2 linked regions of the Macaca mulatta genome follow. The protein of the gene in region 1 binds, or shares a complex with, the protein of each later gene. Links are inferred from orthologs where the notes say so. Each region holds a gene or a part of one and is shown in the gene's direction. Other genes may lie near its edges.

The links.
Region 2: the proteins of ITGB1 (region 1) and FERMT2 are in contact, whole or in part, in a crystal structure (PDB 8TEE), measured with the Mus musculus proteins. The link is inferred for Macaca mulatta from reciprocal best matches to the Homo sapiens genes ITGB1 and FERMT2. Residues at the interface, in NP_034708.1 of Mus musculus: Ala786, Val787, Thr788, Thr789, Val790, Val791, Asn792, Pro793, Tyr795, Glu796, Gly797; in NP_666166.2 of Mus musculus: Phe609, Ser610, Asn611, Met612, Lys613, Gln614, Trp615, Asn616, Val617, Asn618, Trp619, Glu620, Ala629, Asp630, His647, Ile654, Ser657, Thr658, Lys674, Leu675, Ser677, Gly678.

What each region holds. Positions count from the first base shown.
Region 1 is NC_133414.1:34,342,140-34,346,507, reverse strand, and holds the start of ITGB1 (integrin beta-1), read left to right. Parts: upstream 1-1,548; 5' UTR 1,549-1,670; intron 1,671-4,368.
Region 2 is NC_133412.1:125,994,840-125,997,668, reverse strand, and holds the end of FERMT2 (fermitin family homolog 2), read left to right. Parts: coding exon 1-39; intron 40-1,082; coding exon 1,083-1,256; 3' UTR 1,257-2,282; downstream 2,283-2,829. UniProt on the Homo sapiens protein: Scaffolding protein that enhances integrin activation mediated by TLN1 and/or TLN2, but activates integrins only weakly by itself. Binds to membranes enriched in phosphoinositides.

The sequences.
Region 1 (4,368 bases):
GTAAACCTCATAATGTTCTTGTAGCAAAGATTAGCCAGTGCCTCCACCAGTCATGTACAGGGGAAAAAATTCTGAGAATTGTAGTGCAAATCAGGCATGGACCAATTATGCTTTTGAACTATACAGTTTTCTGTGCTGAGACTGGGCCAATTCTGATGAATTCTCAACAATGGTAAAATCCATACCTTTAAAATTCAAGAATGTTGTGTTCTAATGGCAGTTTGACCATTGAGATATTAACATAGGAACATCATTTAGCCTCTTAAGCTTGAACATCCATTAAGCGGGAAAAATAGTGCTTATTTCCTAGAGGTCTGCAGACATTGGCTAACCAATAGTTTTGATTTTGCTGGTAAGTAATGTGCAAATTTTCTTAGATGTGATCGCCTCATTTTCTCTTATATTTTAGATTGGCAGCAGCCAAATGGGCGTTCCAGCCCCTCATCTCCTGCAAGATTCTTCTCAGTTTCATAAATCTGGTAATTTTTGAGCTCTTTTCCCAACAGGGTGCTGCAGCTCACCAAGTGGAACCTACAACATTTTCTGCTACCAGGATAGCAGCTTGCCAGCAGCGTATACTGAAATTACTGGGTTTCAGTATGATGTTGGTTGGTACGAACTTCAATCATCGAATCGACATGCGCCCAGCCATTCTCATAATGAATGTTTCCTTCTCTTTCAAACGTTCTGTTTCCAGCCCCCATCTCCTTTTTTTTTTCTTCTTTTTTAAAGAGGTTTGAAACAGAAACTTTACTCCGTAGGAAGAAACTTTTCCTTCTCATCCCTGTTCCCCATAAAGGGACCTCCAGATAAATCTATCAAAAGCAGGACCCAACTCACCAGGTTTTCTAAAACGTTCCCCAGTCCCACCACCCTTCGTGGCACCCACGGGTTTCCCAAGTCTTCATCTTTCTCTTAGACACACGCTAGCACATTATCACTCCAGAAAAGCAGTCCTGGCTTAGCCAGTTCCCTTCCAGAATGACCACGTGGTTTTTGGCCCCATGGAGTCCTGCAGGGTATGGGGGGTTCATGGTACCGATTTGCCTCGGGACTGAGGGGGCTTCCGGGAATCAGGACCTCCCGGGCTCTAAACGGGACATCAGTGGACAAACGGGAGGGAGGGTCGGACACGCGGATCCGAGGAAGCGGAACTTAAAGAACACGGGCCCAGCAGGCTACACCAGGAACGCGCGGGGCTTTAGGGCGCAACCGACCCCTCCCGCCCTTCACAGAGGAGGAAACTGAGGCATGGCGACTGTCTCAGCGGAGTCCCGGCCCTGCCCTCCACGGCCTCCCTCAGGCGCGCTCCCGAGCGGGCCGGTTCCTTTGTCCCGGTCGCGCTTCCTGCCTCCTCCTGCGCCTCCTCCTCGCCCCGGGGCCGGGCTGACGCGGCGGGAGAGGAATGCGTTTCCGGAGGGAGAGGGCGGTGGCGGCCTCGGGAGCGGGATCAGACGCGCAGAGGAGGCGGGGCCGCGGCTGGTTTCCTGCCGGGGGGCGGCTCTGGGCCGCCGAGTCCCCTCCTCCCGCCCCTGAGGAGGAGGAGCCGCCGCCACCCGCCGCGCCCGAGACTCGGGAGGTCCCGCCAGCCCGCAGGAGAGGCCGAGCGGGAGTCGCGGAACAGCAGGCCGGAGCCCACCGCGCCGGGGCCCGGACGCCGCGCGGAGAAGGTAGGCGCCGGCGGGCCTCGGGTGTGGGGGTGCAGGCCGCGGCCTCGGGTCTGCTGTGCGCGACAGCACTTAACAGCCGCCGGCCCGGGCCGCGCCGGGACCTTTGTGCCAGGCGTGGGGGCGGGGGCGGGGGCGGCCGCGGGCCGGTGGGGGCTGGGGCGGGATTCCAGGCTAGTCCGGGAGGAAGTCCGCACACCGCCACCCCCCTCGGGTCCCAGGCGCTGGCAGCGTCCGGGCGCCGAGTCGGCCCAGCCGCGTTCTGAGCGCTAGGGTCGCGGGCCTGGGCGCTGTCACGTCGGGGCTGCTGGAGCTGCGGAGGACCGGGCCTGAGCGGCTCCTGACACCTGCGGTCTCCCGCCAGGCTGGGCGAGCGCAGGTGGGAGCCAGCGAGGCCACCCGGGGCTCGGCGTTTAGGACTCAGCGCGCCCCTGGACTGGTCCTGCGCCTTTGTCTCTCGCTCCCTCGCTGGCTGCTGTTTTTGGAGCAGCGTCGAGCCGGCCGTCGGCGCCCGCTGTTGGGATTGGTCTTCTCCGACTGGAGCCGGGATAGAAAGTGGCCTCGCGGAGCCGCTGGGGACCGGGGGCGCGGCGGCGGCAGTGCAGTTCACTTCCCGGTGTTTATAAACGCGAATGCCGGGAAGTCAAGAGTCGCCGGCCCCTGCCGGGCACCCCGGGACCAGGACACAGGGCCACGGCCACTTTGCGCTCAGACCCGGTCCGCGAGCCTGAGAGCCCGTCCTGTGTCTAGTATCATTTTTACCGCGTGTCATTTCTTAGGCTTCATAAATTGGATTTATGAGACTCCCACTCTCTAAGTAACTTTCATTTAATCAAATTCGTGCTTTTAAGTCCAAAGCTTTGCACTCATTGGTATGATCATTAGTAAGTTGCATTCTCTAAGCTTCCGTTTCCTCATCTGTGAAATAGGAACAATACTACCTACACTAATAATTCATTTTTATAACAATGACAGCGAGGGCCAGGTTTAGCTCTAGGCATTTCATGTGTATTATTTAATTCTGGAACTGCTCTAATGAGATTGCTACTGTTTCTATTTCCATTTTCCGAGTGAAGAAACGGAGGCACCGGGAGCAAAAAGTAAGTTGCATATGGTCATCGGGAGCTCCTGGAGAAGGCATGGGGTCTAGCTCCAGAGCCTACGTTTAAACCAAAAGTAACCTTCCTAACTATAGTCGTGAAAATCAAATGCAAAATGTAAAACACTTAGCTTGAGAGTAGATGCTCAATGAATATTGACTGCTTTTCAGCCCTTCTTTTATAGTAAAAAGATTTCTCGGAAGGTAATTGGTAACATCATTAGTAAGGTTTCTTTGGGCCAACATGCCACATGGATAACAGGTGGATAGAATTGCTAGGTTATTTTGTTTTGTTTTGAGACAGGGTCTCTGTCGCCCAGGCTGGAGTGCAGAGGAGCTATCACAGCTCACTGCAGCCTCAGCCTCTCGTGCTTAAGTTATTTTTCCACCTCAGCCACCTGAGTAGCTGGAACGACAGGCGCCTGCCACCATGCCCGGCTAATTTTTTAATTTTTTGTAGAGACAGGATTTCACTATGCTGCCCAGGCTGGCCTCAAACTCCTAGGCTCAAGCAGTCCTCTCTCCTAGAGCTCCCAAAGTGTTGGGATTACAGACTTGAGCCCCCTGAGCCTGGCCCTTAGGTTATTATTATTTTTCTTATTGTACTTCTGATGCTACAAAAATAACGTTCTAGAGGAATTTAGACATCTTTCTTAAACCACATATGCCCTTTACGATAGGGTATACAATAGGCCACTTTTAGAAATGATTAAGGAACTTTAGTTGGCAGTTACCTGTTCATTTGTGGACATCAAGGCCCAGAGGGGTCAGGACTTAGAGTCTCACTGTAATTCTCATATTTTTAAATAATGTTGGCTCATTGATCAATATTATATAAGTGACTGAAGATGGTGAAGTGTTAAATAAAAAACATTGGTATTTTGATTACAGGCATTTGGGGGGAAAGCCATTTTATTTATCCCAAAATTGAGTATGAAGGTGGAAGATGTTATTAGAATACTAGCTAAAAGGACAAAGAATGTGGTTAATAGCTTAATTCTGTAAAAAGGAAGCAAATAGACTGTTTAACTCATCTATGTTGACTTCAGACCTAGACCTACAATTTTATGTGATTTTCCTAACAATGTAAAGTTCTGTATTAAAGTTATTTTTGAATACCTTCAACATTCTGTACATGAAATGCATGGAATCAACAATTCTGAAAGTCACTGCATTTAGTAATTTTAACAATTAGGCAGCTTTCTTCTTAGCTTTCTGGTCAGTATAATTTAATTTAAATCAGCCCCAAATTACCATCACGAATGAAAATGTAGTTCTACATTGGTGTTCTTCCTAACTCTGGGAGTGACACTGGGGACAAATGGTCATACTATAATAATGAAAAGTGGTCAAACAACATGGTGCCAGTTTTTCTAAGAGTGCTTGCCACTGATTTTAATGTCTTTATTGTTTGACTTCTTGATAAGTAAGTTGTGGCTTACAGCAGGGAGTAGTACAGTGTTCTGTCCGAAAAAAATATTCATTAATATTCTGTAGCTGCTCTGGTTTGCCCTTAACCATGCTGCTAGTGTGATAAGCTGAAACATCTTGTAAAAGTTTCAGAGAGCTTTCAAGTTCCGAGAACTTAACTTTTCTGAGTAT
Region 2 (2,829 bases), on another chromosome or scaffold:
AACATGAAACAGTGGAATGTCAACTGGGAAATCAAAATGGTAAACTCGTCACAATGTTACTTGAATATAGTTCTTCTGATACAAATTAGCATATTAGGAATAAAAAGGCCTATAAATTCTGATGATTGTTTGTACCACCACCTCTTAAAGTACAGACAGACCATGGTTGACTATTCATTTCTCACTTAAATTTGCCTATTTCATAATTAGCCCAGTTACTAAAATTCTAAGCATATAATTTGCTTAGAATGTTGCCCTTTTTGTCTTTCTGTAATGGATAAAGCCCTTCTACTCCGAAATAGCAACTACTATTTGTTGAATGCCTACCCTGTGCCAGACATGATACTGGAGGCTTACATTAGTACCCCATCTCAAAACCTCATCACAGCCTTTTAAGGTAGTTGGATTACCGTACGTTACAAATGAAGACACTGCAATATAGAGGCTTGAGGGCCACCATTGTCTATGACCACGCACAAAGTAACTACAGAGTCATTTCAAACTCAGATGCTTTAGGCTTAAAAACCTGGCACATTTACCACTGTACATCATGTTGCCCCTGGTCTTGGAGTACACAAATATCATTTAAATTGAACAATCTTTTACTAATAAGTCATTTGGTTTAGGATCATATTGGATTTATTGTATCAATTCATGTTACTTCAAAGAATCTTATATTTCTGAAATACTCAAACGTGATACCTAAAGTTTAAATAGCTGAAGCAAATATTAAAACACAGGAAGGAGGCTTTCCTCCAGGACTTGAAGAGAGGCATTCTCGTTAATTGAATCGTCAGAGACCATTTGAGAACTGAATGACCTAAAACCCTTGCATTCCTAGTCTTCCTTTTCAGAACATGAAAACTTAAAAAAGGGTAGGGGAAGGGCAATAAACTTAACTTCTTCTTTGGGACTTAAAGGCATTACTAGTTTAGGTTTTAAACAGACTAATTATTTGAGGATCAACAAGTGTTTTCTGATGGGACCGGCTTTAAGTAGCGCAGTAGTTGTGTGAGTCGTTTTGTGTGGACCCCGCCACCTGGCATTCGGGACAGCACTGATGATTCTTGTCTTTGTTCCAGGTCACCGTAGAGTTTGCAGATGAAGTACGATTGTCCTTCATTTGTACTGAAGTAGATTGCAAAGTGGTTCATGAATTCATTGGTGGCTACATATTTCTCTCAACACGTGCAAAAGACCAAAATGAGAGTTTAGATGAAGAGATGTTCTACAAACTTACCAGTGGTTGGGTGTGAATAGAAATACTGTTTAATGAAACTCCACGGCCATAACAATATTTAACTTTAAAAGCTGTTTGTTATATGCTGCTTAATAAAGTAAGCTTGAAATTTATCGTTTTATCATGAAAACTTCTTTGCCTTACCAGACCAGTTAATATGTGCACTAAACAAGCACGACTATTAATCTATCAGGATATAATAAACTTGAATTTGGCACACATTCCTTAGGGCCATGAATTTAAAACTGAAATAGTGGGCAAATCAGGAACAGACCATCACTGATTTAAGCTAGCCAAACTGTAAGAAACAAGCCATCTATTTTAAAGCTATCCAGGCCTTAACCTATATGAACTCTATTTATCATGTCTAATGCATGTGTTTTAATGTATGTTTAATTTGATATGTTTTAAAATATCCTACTTCTGGTAGCCATTTAATTCCTTCCCCCCACCCCCAAATAAATCAGGCCTGCAGGAGGCCTGATGTTTAATAATGTCATTGTGTTTGACCTTGAAGGAAAATGCTATTAGTCTGTCGTGCTTGATTTGTTTTTGTCCTTGAATAAGCATGTTATGTATATTGTCTTGTGTTTTTATTTTTACACCATATTGTATTACACTTTTAGTATTCACCAGCATAATCACTGTCTGCCTAAAATATGCAACTCTTTGCATTACAATATGAAGTAAAGTTCTATGAAGTATGCATTTTGTGTAACTAATGTACAAACACAAATTTTATAAAATTGTACAGTTTTTTAAAAACTACTCACAACTAGCAAATGGCTTAAATGTAGCATCTCTGCATTAATTAAATGCCTTTAAGAGATATAATTAATGTGCAGTTTTAATATCTACTAAATTAAGAATGACTTCATTATGATGATTTGCCACAATGTCCTTAACTCTAATGCCTGGACTGGCCATGTTCTAGTCTGTTGCGCTGTTACAATCTGTATTGGTGCTAGTCAGAAAATTCCTAGCTCACATAGCCCAAAAGGGTGCGAGGGAGAGGTGGATTACCAGTATTGTTCAATAATCCATGGTTCAAAGACTGTATAAATGCATTTTATTTTAAATAAAAGCAAAACTTTTATTTAATAGTTATTTTTGTACTTGTTTTTAATGTTTACATAGTATCAATTTAGTAGAAATGAACTTCTGCCTTTTGGAAATGCTTTGCCTACATGTTGTTATTTTGTGAGAACAACGGGTTAGTATTCCACATCATCGCCAGATAGACACACTTTATCTCAAAGATAGTCTTTCGCCTCGATTGAAAAGCCCTCATTTTCTTAACACTTAAAAATGAATGTGTAATACCTAAATGTTAGAAATGTACTTATAAATAGAAGTTGGCTGTGGCAGAATTTGTTTTAAATAACAAAATTATTCTTGTTTTACAAAAAAAAATACGTTTACGAATTTACTGCCAGTCATTACTGCTGTCATCATTCAAGACTCAAGACTTTTTAGTCCTTTACCCTTTGCATGTAGACCAATTCCTGATTTTCCCCTCACACAGCCTTGCATCTTTTCTCTTGTTATTGCTGCCACCATCATCCAAATTCAGTTCTTTGTCCTGTGCC